4 linked regions of the Tribolium castaneum genome follow. The protein of the gene in region 4 binds, or shares a complex with, the protein of the main gene of each other region. Links are inferred from orthologs where the notes say so. Each region holds a gene or a part of one and is shown on either strand. Other genes may lie near its edges.

Evidence for each region.
Region 1: TfIIFalpha (region 4) and TfIIA-L share a complex: the UniProt entries of both Homo sapiens proteins name them as parts of the TBP-based Pol II pre-initiation complex. The link is inferred for Tribolium castaneum from reciprocal best matches to the Homo sapiens genes GTF2F1 and GTF2A1.
Region 2: TfIIFalpha (region 4) and Polr2C share a complex: the UniProt entries of both Homo sapiens proteins name them as parts of the TBP-based Pol II pre-initiation complex. The link is inferred for Tribolium castaneum from reciprocal best matches to the Homo sapiens genes GTF2F1 and POLR2C.
Region 3: the proteins of TfIIFalpha (region 4) and Fcp1 are in contact, whole or in part, in an NMR structure (PDB 1ONV), measured with the Homo sapiens proteins. The link is inferred for Tribolium castaneum from reciprocal best matches to the Homo sapiens genes GTF2F1 and CTDP1. Residues at the interface, in NP_002087.2 of Homo sapiens: Thr470, Lys471, Leu474, Gln478, Ser486, Thr489, Val490, Leu493, Ala494, Leu497, Lys498, Leu500, Asn501, Pro502, Arg504, Met511, Phe513; in NP_004706.3 of Homo sapiens: Ala946, Asp947, Met949, Ala950, Lys951, Ala952, Leu953, Glu954, Glu956, Leu957, Asp959, Leu960, Met961.

The regions. Positions count from the first base shown.
Region 1 is NC_087395.1:25,201,029-25,204,412, forward strand, and holds TfIIA-L (transcription initiation factor IIA subunit 1), read right to left. Parts: upstream 2,155-3,384; 5' UTR 1,946-2,154; coding exon 1,458-1,945; intron 1,216-1,457; coding exon 765-1,215; 3' UTR 501-764; downstream 1-500. UniProt on the Homo sapiens protein: TFIIA is a component of the transcription machinery of RNA polymerase II and plays an important role in transcriptional activation. TFIIA in a complex with TBP mediates transcriptional activity.
Region 2 is NC_087398.1:8,332,008-8,334,848, reverse strand, and holds Polr2C (DNA-directed RNA polymerase II subunit RPB3), read left to right. Parts: upstream 1-1,288; 5' UTR 1,289-1,344; coding exon 1,345-1,430; intron 1,431-1,475; coding exon 1,476-1,647; intron 1,648-1,695; coding exon 1,696-2,083; intron 2,084-2,130; coding exon 2,131-2,309; 3' UTR 2,310-2,341; downstream 2,342-2,841. Other genes in the region: uncharacterized protein LOC103314918, read right to left, coding at 1-492, 538-699, 747-974, 1,039-1,086; uncharacterized protein LOC103314913, read left to right, coding at 2,412-2,687, 2,733-2,841. UniProt on the Homo sapiens protein: Core component of RNA polymerase II (Pol II), a DNA-dependent RNA polymerase which synthesizes mRNA precursors and many functional non-coding RNAs using the four ribonucleoside triphosphates as substrates.
Region 3 is NC_087396.1:10,632,633-10,636,890, reverse strand, and holds the start of Fcp1 (RNA polymerase II subunit A C-terminal domain phosphatase), read right to left. Parts: upstream 2,801-4,258; 5' UTR 2,761-2,800; coding exon 2,543-2,760; intron 2,492-2,542; coding exon 2,338-2,491; intron 2,285-2,337; coding exon 1,914-2,284; intron 1,433-1,913; coding exon 271-1,432; intron 1-270. Other genes in the region: Rab2 (ras-related protein Rab-2), read right to left, coding at 3,404-3,502, 3,728-3,908, 3,965-4,258. UniProt on the Homo sapiens protein: Processively dephosphorylates 'Ser-2' and 'Ser-5' of the heptad repeats YSPTSPS in the C-terminal domain of the largest RNA polymerase II subunit. This promotes the activity of RNA polymerase II.
Region 4 is NC_087400.1:9,154,647-9,157,704, reverse strand, and holds the end of TfIIFalpha (general transcription factor IIF subunit 1), read right to left. Parts: intron 1,445-3,058; coding exon 871-1,444; intron 824-870; coding exon 619-823; 3' UTR 501-618; downstream 1-500. UniProt on the Homo sapiens protein: TFIIF is a general transcription initiation factor that binds to RNA polymerase II and helps to recruit it to the initiation complex in collaboration with TFIIB. It promotes transcription elongation.

The DNA of each region.
Region 1 (3,384 bases), on a different chromosome or scaffold from region 4:
TCTCTAATAGTTCCGGAGCTATTGCTCGAGAAATGTTCCGGGTACCCAAAACCGACAAAAACTGCGACGAAAATTGAAAAAATCAAACATCAAAAAATCGAACATTTGGACTTTTTGTGGACTTTTAACAACTTTTGTGAGTTGTTAAGACATGTAGAAGTCCATAAAAATTTGCTGGAGTTAGTTTAAAAAAAATTTTTTTTCACCTCTTTGAAGGTAAGTAAGTGTATAACTCAGGAAATTTGAGCAAAAAAATTGAAAATTTTAAATTGCGTGAAAAATTAGTATAATAGAGAAAAAAAGGCGCTGAATCCAATGGAACGAACCGCACTGCTCTACGACTTTTAGTTTTCGAATTATGAATTTTTTTGTTGAATATAATTTTCCATTATAGGCATTGCTCTACGATTTTTAGTTTTTGAGTTATGATTTTTTTTCAAAAGAGCTGCTAATTTGCGATTTTTGTCATCTTCCAGGTGTTAGAAAAACGACCAATGGTGTAACTTCAAAAATAGTTTTATTCACAAACGGCTATCGATAATTGATAATACATAGTAAAAATTTCGATTAAATCTAAACGCCTATTATTAGTTACATTTATAATGGATAACACAATTCTACAACTCAGGCTATTCTCCCATTTTACATACAAAAGTTCAATAACTTAAGTCGGAACCCAACGTTCCCTTGAATAAGTGACGGGTTTTGCGTGCAAGTGACTTGAAAATAATAAAAAAAAAACAAAACTTCTTAAAAAACACTAATTACCATTCCGCATCACCGTTAGCCTTTTGGAAGACATAATCTTGTCCACTCAAGTTCATTATCCCATCTTTCAAATAAAATTTCCACTTATTCCTATTTCTTATGATTTTATCGTACTGACAAACAACGATGTTATCAGTATCGAACAAATCAGTTGGGTCGTCATCAGTCACATCGTCTTCGGAGTTCAGGGGCTCTTCTTCACCACCTTCTTCCTCCATTTCTTGATCCTCTTCGTCCTTATCGTCATCGATATCCTCGTCGTCGTTATCGTCGTCAGACCCGTCCTCATCGTCGTCGGACGTGTCCACGGGGCCGTCCACCTGGGGCACCTTCTTCCTAGGCAAAATAAACTCGATTTCGATTTGTTCCTCCTCCTCCTCCTCGGCGTGGCTTCCGTCCGTCTGGGCGATGTTTCGGTTGACAATGGTCACGATCTGCTGCTGCTGGCTGTTAAAAACACGTTATCTCATAACAAAAAACTACAATTATTACAAGCTTTTTTATTTATTCCGAAGAGAACATTATTAAAAATCCGATAAAATTTTAAACAATAATTAGAAAATTTTTAAAACAATTATTGACAAAAATATCTGCATAAGTGTGCACAAAACATGTATTTTTCTTTGTACAGGGTGACCCGAAAACATTTTGCGTGGACGATTTAAGTTAAAAGGGGGCTAACTGACTACCTGTTAAACACCGCGTTGACGTGCTGCTGGAGCACCGAAGACGCAATATTGGCGGGCAAATTCATCATCCCCGTGATGATCTGCCCCGTGAGCACCTTCTGGAGCTGGTTCCCCTGGAGCGCCGTGGCGGGGACCTGTATCGTGAGTATCCTGGGGCCCTGGTCGCTGCCGGGCTGCGCCGGGAGCGTGATCTGGATGGGGACCATCTTCGTCTCGGCGATCTGCCCCACGGGGGCTGCCGCCGGCTGCGCCACATGCTGCTTGGGGAAGCCGTTGGTGGCGGTCATCTCCGCCTTCTTCGCCTTCTCCTCCTCGCTCTGCACCGCCTTGCTGGCCTTGAGCTTGGTCTCCCAGGTCTGCTTCAGCTCCTGGAGGACCTGCTCGTCGACGCCGTCCTCCAGGAAGATCTCGCGGACGCCGCTGATCACGTCGTCGATCACCTCCTGGTAGATGCGGAGCACCGAAGTCTTGCACAGGGAGTTCGACATGGCCTTGGGGGCGCACCACACTACGTTAAGCTGATTATGAACGGTTTCCGAGAGTGGAAACGGGCGATAATGGCATTTTTACGCGCACATATGCACTTTTGAGGTTAGGGAAATCAGATGGCCGACATTTTGATGGAAAATGAAGGCGAGAGATGAGGAAAATTTTGGGGTAACGGCAGGACGCGATCGGGGATAGTGCGCAAGCGCCGGAATGAAGAGTTTTTATCAATTCTTATCACAAAAAATTACTACCACGACAAAAAAGTCGTATGGTGATTAGTGAGTCGTGGGGTTTTTATGGGTACAAAAAAGAGATTTAAGCAATAAGAAAATAGTAAAAAAGTGGTGTATTGTGGGTTGACTAAAGCACAAAATGGCTGCCCGAATTATTTTACCGCGAAATACAAAAATTAAGTTAATTTACGATATAGCAGAATTTAGCAAAAAAAATCAAAATTTTTAATCTCGTAAAAAAAGCTGGTATAACAAAGAAAATGAAACAAACCGCATTGCCCAACGACTTTTACTTTTTGGGTTATGATTTTTTTTAGTGTAAAACTTTAATTGCCTCTGTAACCGGAACCGTTGCCCGGAGCAGCTCCGGGTTTGGACGAAAAAATAGATAATTTTAAGCGCCATCCGTTTTTTTAGTTTGATTCTCTAAGTCTTAGAGTTTCCGAGAAAAACGCAAATAAAGTTTCCATCTTCGCTTTTTTTCCATTTTCAACTGCCGATTACGGCGAAATTATTAGAGTTATCTAAAAACGGAAGAATTGTAGAAAAGCGCAATAAAAACTCTACAAAATGGCATAGGACTCAAAGCGATATCTCGCAAAAAGTTTTATAATTTTCAATCGCCGATTACGGCCAAACTAAAAGAGCTAGGAAAAAACTCTTTTTTCCATCGTAAAGAGCACATCAAAATCTATAAGAAAGGATAAGTGTTATTTGATTCTGAGACACTTTTAAAAATGGCCATTTTGGAGGGGAGGGAGGTCTTAATTTATTTTTAATTTTTATTATATTCTCAATTACGACTAAACTATTCGAAAAAGGGGAACTGTTTTGATCTTTACCTATGCAAAATGATCCAGGGAATCGATTGGCGTCGAGAAAATTGCCAAATTCCCACTAGTTTTTTGGTTACGAATTTTTTAAAATTTTACCAATTTTTGCATTTATCTGCAATTTTCTCGAAAACTATTAGTCGGAGAGCAAAGATCTTTTTTGAAAAAGATAGACAATTAAAAGAGCTTTCCAACGATAATACACTTCATGGGGTTATCTCTAATAGTTCCGGAGCTATTGCTCGAGAAATGTTCCGGGTACCCAAAACCGACAAAAACTGCGACGAAAATTGAAAAAATCAAATATTAAAAAATCGAACATAAGGATTTTTTTTGAACTTTTAACAACCCTAGAGGGTTGTAAAGGCACAT
Region 2 (2,841 bases), on a different chromosome or scaffold from region 4:
CACAGTGACATCCTTATACAACTCATTCTCATCAAATTTATATTTCCCAGGCGCCAGGCCAATGGCATTGCCTAAAACTTTATCAATTTGAACACAATTCTTGTTATCTGTGACAGTCTTAAACAGTGCGCTTTTTAGCAACTGCACGTTATGTAGCAAATTGCTCAATTCTTCGCAAAACTTGACGCCCCTTTGCCCAGCCTTGCATTTTTGGGTGATGTCAAACAAATAATTCCAAACATCGAAATTGTACTGCTGGTAACCCTCGGGTAGAGGCCCATGGTCGGGATTTTTTTTCAAATGTTGAATCATTTTGTTTTTGCCCAAATAAGCCTTGAAGCATTTGGGGCACTTGAACTGGGCTTTCACCACCCGCTTTCTGGTCTGTAATTGAGCAAATTCTATTTTACTGTTCTCCTTCTCCTCAACTCTCTCAAAATCCGTGACTTGTACTTCGCGATCATTAACACTGGGTTGAAATTTTTTGAAATCCTGTGAAACATCACTGATTAACTTCTAAAACACTTGAAAATTTACCTTTTCTATGTGTTTTGGGAGCTTGACTAGACGACCAGAACGAGTCCTGGAAGCTTTAGAAGCCTCGACATTGTCCGTTTTTGATTCGGTATTTGCATCAGTTTGTGGCGCTTCGTGCTTCTTCTTTTTAGGGCGTCCACGTTTTACAAGATTTGGAGCTCGCTAATTAAAAAAATAAATTCAAGGAATAAGAGATAAGTGGTTCTCACAATCAAACTCAGTTCTTGGGGGTACACAATTTTGACGACACATGGTTGTTCCTCGGGGTACATAATTTGGAAACCCAGTGGTTCTTCTTGGGGAACACTCGTGCAAGGTTCTTCAATGATTTCAAGAGGCTTATCCATGGATTCAACTAAGATGTGAGGATTACTCACGGTTTGGGCAATCTGTAGTTGACTATCAACTTGTTCTGCCAAGTGTATGGTTTCGAGGGGCTAGAATAACGTTGCAATATAATACTTTAATCTTACTAATTTATAAATAACAATTAGCACTTACCTCACTAATTTGAACTACATATGGCGTTGTGGGAATGTTATCGGTCATTATTATTGGACACTTGTTAATTTCTCACGATATTTAAACTGTTTTCGCGTTTTTTATTTTTAAATAAAAATTTGCAGAGGTTGACAAATCCTTGACACCACAAAAATTGACAGTTTTGATAGGCACAGGCAACCAGTTACACAAGACAGTGCTGTAAGTTGCCTTTTATAATAAGTTTTGAGGTTCTGTCGTGTTGTTGTCGGTGTTTGTGTTAAAAAAAGTTCAAATCCTGTCTTTTCGTAATTGAAATTTTCTAATATGCCGTACGCAAACCAGCCCTCGGTCCACATAACCGATTTAACCGACGATAATGTGAAATTCTACATTGAAGACACCGATCTGAGGTGAGCAACAATTCTTTAAGGGGGCACTAACTGGCCAATTTTTAGCGTGGCTAACAGCATCAGGCGCGTCCTAATCGCCGAAACGCCAACTTTGGCCATCGATTGGGTCAAGTTGGAGGCGAACTCAACCGTCCTAAGTGACGAATTTTTGGCCCACAGAATAGGCTTGATCCCCCTCATATCAGACGACGTGGTGCAACGTCTCCAATACCCAAGAGTTAGTCGTTTAATTTGATCTATTTCACATCTAAAATGCAATTTCCAGGACTGCATTTGCACCGATTTTTGTCATGAATGCAGTGTTGAATTCACCCTTGATGTGAAATGCACTGACGACCACACGCGGCACGTTACCACCGCAGATTTAAAATCGAGCGATCCTAGAGTTATTCCGGCCACTTCCAAACACAGGGACGATGAATCGTCAGAGTATGGCGACACTGACGAAATTCTGATCATCAAGTTGCGGAAAGGGCAAGAGTTGAAGGTTAAAGCTTACGCTAAAAAGGGGTTCGGTAAGGAACACGCCAAGTGGAACCCCACGGCGGGGGTGGCCTTCGAGTACGACCCCGATAATGCTATGAGACACACGCTTTTTCCTAAGCCAGACGAATGGCCCAAGAGCGAATACAGCGAACTGGATGAGGATCAATGTAAATATTTTACTTGTTAGTTGTTTTGTTTGACCATAATGTTCCAGACGAGGCTGATTTTAACTGGGAATTGAAACCAAACAAGTTTTATTTCAATGTGGAAGCTGCAGGAGCCCTAAAACCCGAAAATATCGTCATAATGGGGGTGGCAATGCTGAAGGATAAATTGTCCAATTTGCAGACTCAGCTTAATCATGAAGTACAGAACGATGCCCTTGCTATTTAATTATAACGTTAATAAAGCCGATAATTTTTAAATTAGTGTTTTGTTTGAACTGTCACTTTTTACAATTACTGAAACAGTCAGTTCCTTCTTTCTGTTGAAAAAATGAACGAGCACGACGACAGAATTAAGTTGGACATCTTTAGAAGCAAAACCACTTATCAGAATGACTACAAAAAATTCCCACTTGAGCCTCGTAAAGACACTTTGAATTGTCAAGCAAAATTTTTGGACAAAAAAGACAAGCCCCCGAGTGAGTATGTCCCTAAAGACAATGAAACTTTTGCGGCCCGACGCCCCGACGTCTACATCCCGTTTAACTTACTTTGGAGACGCAAAGAGATCACAGGCACGGACCCCCATGTACCTTTCGAAACCCCCGTATGTACAAAAATACAGTCAACAAAATAAAAAGATACAATTAAGGTAATTCCCGAGAATGCAGCCAAAGAAAACGTAATCAAGACAAGACCAAGGGTTTACATGTCCCCAGCTGTGAGTATCGACGACGTTTCAGACCCCGAAATGCGCAACT
Region 3 (4,258 bases), on a different chromosome or scaffold from region 4:
TTATAAAACAAAATGTCAAACTGAATAAAACTAATTGCCGACTTTCGACCAGTTTGTCAGATAAAGAAGATCCTAACTGAAGTTGGTTGAAAACAAATTCGTCGCCCTACATTATTTTTAATTGACGATTTTTTATTAAATAAAAGTCTTGGTTGCTGCAAATTTAATTAAGATTTTATGGACAACGCTTTTTTTCTATAGCTGGTACCCTAGTGTCCGGTTTAGGAACACAATAAACGTATTCCCCTTTCACCTAATTTTTAACCTTACCTCCTTATCCATATCCGCTATATCTGCGCTGGAAAACGACATGAGAGGATTAATCGTGTCCATAAACCTTCCACTGGGTGTCCTTTTTCGCATAGCGGGCGTATTGTGCTCTGGATAACTTATAATATGCTCTGGACTGCTGCAATGAGGCGGTGGATGCCGGTTTTTTGAGCCTTTGCTATTCAAAGCAAAAATCTTCTCGTCTACGTGCTCCCACCGTTCTGCACAACACCACAGCCAATCGGGTGTAACAATCTTCAAGTTCTTCTTTCTTCTGCCGGCGTTCACCTTAGCAGTGCCTGGCCTAACAGCCACCAAATGTGTCGTGTCGTCCTCCAGCTCTTGCGTAACTTCAGCACCCAAACTCTTGGCGATTTGGTACGCTTTTGATTGTTCTAATTTGATGTGAGTTGGCACCAACCCGCTAAAAACCAGCTTGTAGCCCTGTAGCACCTGACTTCGCACCCCGGGAATCACCTTCTTCAAGTCGGGAACCTCTCCCGATTCCATTTTATCATAAGCGTCATAGAAAGCTTGATGAATACGTTTTAGTATATCTTCTAGATAGGAGAGATAGTCATCGGGGTCTTCAACTTCTACTAAATGATTGTTTATTTCGATTGCGTTTTTTGTTTCCGGAGGGGTTTCAGTTTTGGTGTCCCCTTCCGTTTGCGTTTTACTTTCTTCAGGTGGAGGCTTTTCGTCATTAGTTACTGCTTCACCATTCACACCTTTAGATTCAACATTTTCAATTTTTTGTTCGCTACTGTCGTCACCGTTTTTATTTTCATCTACTTTATTATTTCCTTCACTATCTTCGGTATTTTCTTTACTCTCGTTTTTTGTACTCTCAGATTCATTTGAAACCTGATTCTCAACTTTACTTTCCTCGACATTTTCACCATTTTTCTCACTGTCATTTTCTGTCGCTTTACTATCGTTATTCTGGATTTGTTCGTCTTTTTTCTGGTCTTTAATTTTTGTTAAATCAACTCCCTTGTTATCATTTTCATGTTTGTCTAAACCAGGGGGTGCGTTTATGTCGCCGGTGTGTTGAAAAAAATGGTACGGCTTGACATGAATCAAATTTGCGGCGTTCGACCACACGTCCTCTCTGTCGTCAATAATACACACCATGTTGTCCCCGCAAGGAAATAGAGCCCTAAATATAAAAAATTATGTAACACAGCGTATCAAAAAATATAAAAAAATATTTTCGCGAACTTTTAGCACAATTGTTGTTTTAAATATCACGAAGATAGTCTAAGACTAGAAAATTAGATCGAAACTGTTACTTTAGCTTGCTTCTCTCAGTTTAACAAGTTGGTTTTAAATTTTTAATCCGATATATTTATTTATTGTGCAAGTTCGTCTTAAAGTACCTTCGATTTGAGAGTAATTAAGGCAAAAATTACTTTTAATTTTGCTTTCTTGTCCGAATTTATCAAGTTTTTCATCCTGGTCTCATTTTTGCCTTTTTTTTTTCGAAAGCTAGACCTTCTACACTCAAATATGGTAGAGTGAACATATGCAAAGTGATTCAAAAACACTTGAAGAGAAAAACTATTTACTTATGATTTTGAAAGACTCAAAAAACAGGAATAACGGAATGATTTTTCAGATTTTTCTTTTCAAATACGTACTTTAAGTTCGCCTTTTTGCTAGTTGGGTCAAAACACTCATCCCGCGAGAGAATACGATTTGAGAAAAACTTCTGGTCCCTGTCCAGAACCGCAGCAATCATATGTGCGTAATTCCTTGCGCCAAAGGTGCAAATATGCAGCTCGTAAAACGGGTAAATATTGTTCAAAAACTGATGGGTTCCGGGCCTCAACCTTGTGAAGTACCAAGGTGAATTGGGCCCGTATAACTGAAAGCGATAGATATCCTTGATGTTCGGCTGAATGTGGTCATTGGTTGTGTGGATCAAGGTCTGATCCAAGTCCACAAGCAGGACAAGTTTCCTGTCTCTAATAAGCCGATCAACGTCCGCTTTGCCGAGTTTCTGTGCAAGCTGCAACAATGCAAGTCAAACCCCCGCAGCGGCATTTTATATAACGCAACCACCTCTTCGCTGACTTTCAAGTCAGGTATGGCATGCACCATGGGCACGGAAGCCGCCACACTGACGTCGTTTTTCCTCAAATCCGTGCCGCATTCTGCGCACATGTCGTTCATCACCGTCGGATGCGTGCATTCTTTCAATTCGCACAAAGTCTCGCTGAAAATTCGAGCGTGAGCTTTCGCGCGCCTTTTCAAAACTGTTGCTTACCCTGGCTTGACAATGGCGCCTTCCTGCGCCACAATCTTAAAAATTGTTCCGGCCTGTGTTACCTTCAACTTGCGTTGTTCCACCTTGGAAGCCCCGTCAAAATCATACAGAAGGATTACTCTTCCGATCGAGACAGTGTTCCCTTCGCTCACTTTCCATTTTAAAATTTTTATAGGTTTTGTTTGTTGCTGTGATATGCACATAGTTTTTTCCGCCATCTTGCACGGAAACGACTTCACTCATGAACGCAGAACGCGGCCTGATTGGACGACGCGTGCACTTCCGGGTGCCATTACTCACGCGCCCGTTTCAAATTTTGGGTAAAACAAACACAAACTGGCAATACAACTTATATTTGATTATATTACATGAAGCTTACATAAAAAATTTGACGTTTTACAATACAAATTTATTTAATGAGATAAACACTACATTTCTTAATTAAGTATAATAGTCGCAATAAAACACATAACACTATTATCACCAATAACAAAAATAAAGTTGGTTTAAAGTAAGATGTAATGCTTCTGAAACGGCTTTTCGGTTGGTACTCTATAAAATATGAACTCAAAACAATAAATATGTGACCTGTATTGGACTAACTATACCACACTCTTAAAATAATCACAATAATAATCCTTTCATTACATAAATTAGTGGGGGCCAATATCACCATATGTATCAAAATATTTGAAAAGTTTTGTCTCTAAAGGTTGTTGAACGATGGGGTAAAGTGCAACTTGCTAATTTGGAAGATATCAGATCATTAATTTATGTAATAAACCTGTGCAGTCACTTTCAATTCTTTAATAAGGGTTTCTCTCTTACACATAATGTAACCCTCAAGACAGACAAGTCATCTTAACAGCAACTCGAACCCTGCGAACCCCCGGCGCCGCCTGCACCAGGAAGCGATGGATTTGTGGGGGAATGTTGGGGGCCAATCTTGATTCCATTTGCCTGCACAATTTCAACAACAAAATTTAAAACACAATAGTTGTGAATTTGAGTTGGCAGCACTATACGTGTGACGTCTCAAGCTGCCAACTTAATTTCAAAGTCAGAAGAAAGTATCACCAAAAATGGGGTAATGAACTTGCTAATGTATAAAATTATTGATTTCTAAAGTTTGTGTAACCTTTAGAAAATGCCAATTAGCTTAACAGAGCAGAACCGCTGATTTACCTCATTGTTAATGTCAAAGACTCCCTCTTGTATTTTCTCATAGATCTCTTTTGCTGTGTTTATAAACGCTTCTTCAACGTTGGCGGCCGTTTTTGCTGAAGTTTCCATAAAGACTAGTCCGTGTTCTCTGGCAAAAGCTTCTCCTTCTTCCTTTTTCACTTCTCTCCTACTCTCTAGATCACTGGAAGGGTTTAGTTAACACTTTTGAAAAAAAAAAAAATAAAACGGGATGAACACCTTTTGTTTCCAATCAACATGATGACCATATTTGAGTTGGAATGCTGGCGGGCATCATCAAGCCATGTAGTCAAATGGTTGAAAGTCTCCCTCCTCGTAATGTCATAAACTAAAAGAGCGCCAGCAGCCCCCCGATAGTACGACCGCGTTATAGATCTAAAAGCCTCCTGTCCGGCAGTGTCCCAAATTTGTAATTTGATTTGTTTGCCATCAATGGTGATCATTCGAGCGCCAAACTCCACCCCGATTGTCAAATCATGAACTGGCTGGAACCTCTTGTCCGTGAACTGTAGT
Region 4 (3,058 bases):
TTGTATTTTTTAAAATAGGAATCATAGGTAACCGTGATATTTTGAAAAGCTTATTTATGTGTATTTGTGTAATACGTTATATTTAAATATTATTCAACTTTTTGTTATAAAAAAGACCAATATTTGATAAATCACTTCAACGTCGCTTATGACAATTTTTCAAAAAATTTTGCAACAAAAAACCTTCTATACAAAATATTTGTATTTTTTATTTCTGGCAATGTATTTCTAATACTATAAAATAAACTTCAATAATTTAATTAGATATATTTTACTTCTCATACAAAAGGTTAAAACACTATGCAACTAACAATACACGCGGCCACACTTTGTTGACTATTTCAATCACTTTACGGACGATTTTAATGACATTAGTCAAGAAAAGTATAGCTTTATCGACTTCTTCGTTCTCTTTATGGACAACTTTAGAACAAATATCATTTTAAAATCAAACTTTGAGGCGTTATTTTAATTATAGACAGTAATTAAGAAAACAATAATTGCTGTAAATAAATTTTTATTAATTAATATGTAATTACAACTCCCATTATACATAAATATCATACTCCTTTAACTCCTTATAGATAGAAAATTTTTACAGCAACATTATTGATTCAATCAAGACTTTATCGACAGATACATCTTCCCTTTCAATGTTTGTTTCACGGGATTAATTTTCTTCAATATTTGTGTCATAATATTGACAAGCTGTTCGCTCGAAAGTCCCGTCTTTTTCGATTTGAATTTCTGCAAAAGCTCAGTGGTTGTCATCGGCTTCCTCATTAGATATTTTCTAACAGCATCTTCGGTAATTCCAGACTCACTAAAACCAAACTTAACACTTTCTTCAATCAAATTCAAAAAACTTACCTCGACCCAACAATATAATTCGGTAAATCTAACTTCTGTTTTTTAGCAGACGGTCCTGCCATTACATCATTTACTAACTTCCGCTTGTGATCAGTTGGCGTTGCAGACCTTGAACTATTGGCACTATTTGCTTCCCTCTCTTCTTTTTTCATTTTCTTATCATTCTTCTTCTTTTTGGTCTCTTCGTCTGTGCTGCTATCGGAACTAAAATCACTGTTTGACTCTTTCTCTTTCTTCACCTCCTTTTTAATCTCTTTCTTGTTCTTCTTTTTGTTCTTCTTCTTCTTGTCCTTGTCAGCGCCCTCCTCGGTTTTCTCGCTTTCTTTCTCTTTGTTTTCTTCATCTTCATTGCTTTGTTCCTTCTCGGATTTGTCTGAATCGTTTTCCGAATCTTCATCTGATGTTAGTAGTTTTCGCAAGGCTTTTTCTTCAGCCACGCTCTCCAGATTCGTGTTTTCAGGTTCACTCTCTGAACTATCACTAATGTAATCCAATTCTCGGCCCTCGCCATCTCCATCATCCGAATCTTCAAATGCTTCCACATCTGTGTCCCGCTTCTTCTTTTTCGGGTCAACTGATAAATGATGCAAGTGACGGTTTAGCTCGTTTTTAAGCAAGAAATCTTAAAATATTTTTTTCAAACGAAGCAAATGGAAGAATAGATATTTTGGCCTGTATTTCGTATTTATGTATTTACTTTAAACCGAGTTAAAAATATTTATGAACATTTTGTATCGTTTTTTAAATGGAAAATCAAAAAAATAACTGATTTAAGCGAAACAAATTAATGCCAAATTCGCCAATTTTGAGACACCTGTATAACCATAAAGCTGTTTTTATGTTGAAATTCTGTTCAAATACAGGATTAACAAATGGTTTGTCTAGGGATTAGGAAGCTATAGAAAATTTTTGATTTTTGATATAAAGGCCATCCTATTAAAAAGACTTCAGACATACATTGCAAAAAATATTATAGTAATATTTTAAGCCAAATTCTAACGCAATAATAATTTTCAGATCTTTGTACAGGTGCTGCGTTTTTGGATGTAAGAAAAGGAAGATCTTTGAAAATAAGAGGTTTCGAGAAAAACGAGTGACACATTTTCGTTTTTCGAGTAAATAATTTTGGTCAAAACCGCATCCCGCTCTCGTCTTTTGTTTTCGACTTATAAACAAAAGTTGACATTTTAGCGAAATCTTAAAAAATTCATATCTTCCCTTCTAAAAGCTACACGACTGAAACAAAACATTATAAAGCACTTTTTTATAGAGAATTTAATAACGTTATCAGTGTTTTTTTTAATTATTCGTTTGGCTGTAATAACATTAATAACATAAAGTTGTATTTTTGTAAATTGAAATCATACTTGGCTATGACATTTTCGAAAAGCTTATTTTTTCAGAACTGAGAACAATATAAATACAGTTTGATATTTTTAAATACTTTTGATAAAAAATAGTATTTTTAAGATATTTCTCCTAACCTAAAAATTTTCTCCTTAGCTAGCTCTATCTGCTGAGAAAAATACAAACTAAAACAAAACCGAGAAAAAATGTGAGCAATCACAATCCGTGAAAATTGAAATTTTCAATTGACATTTTAGACTGACAATTAAACTTTGTCAAAAAAAACATTTGCACCCACATAGAACGTTATTTTCATATAATTTTTGAATTAACTGGGTATGATGGTGTTAAGTACGTGGCTTTTTGTACTGAAACCAAGGACATAATGAAACACTATCAAAAACAAGAAATCCTAAATTTGAACAAAACGATTTAAACAATAATTTTGGTATCCGCCAAGTAAAATTATTCCAAAAATAACAATGGACCAACATGACCAACTCAGTGGTTGAATTTTCACGTTTTCTTACATTAAGACAAAAATTATAACTTTGAAAAAGTTGTGGAAGCTTATTACCTTACAACAATGAATAAATAAGAAAAAGATTTTTTTTAATTTTAGACTAAACTATAGACAATTTTTAAGCCTCTGCTGAAGTCTGACATAATATGAAGCCTCACTAACGTTATTAGAGAATATGGAACACAAGTTGTTCTCTTGGTTGTCCTATTAATACAAATCAAAGTACTTCATGTGGTGGAAACTTGATTTGATGCGTTTTTATTATTTTAAAAAGACAACTATACTTACAAGTGCAACGACGAAGTTTAACTATAGTTT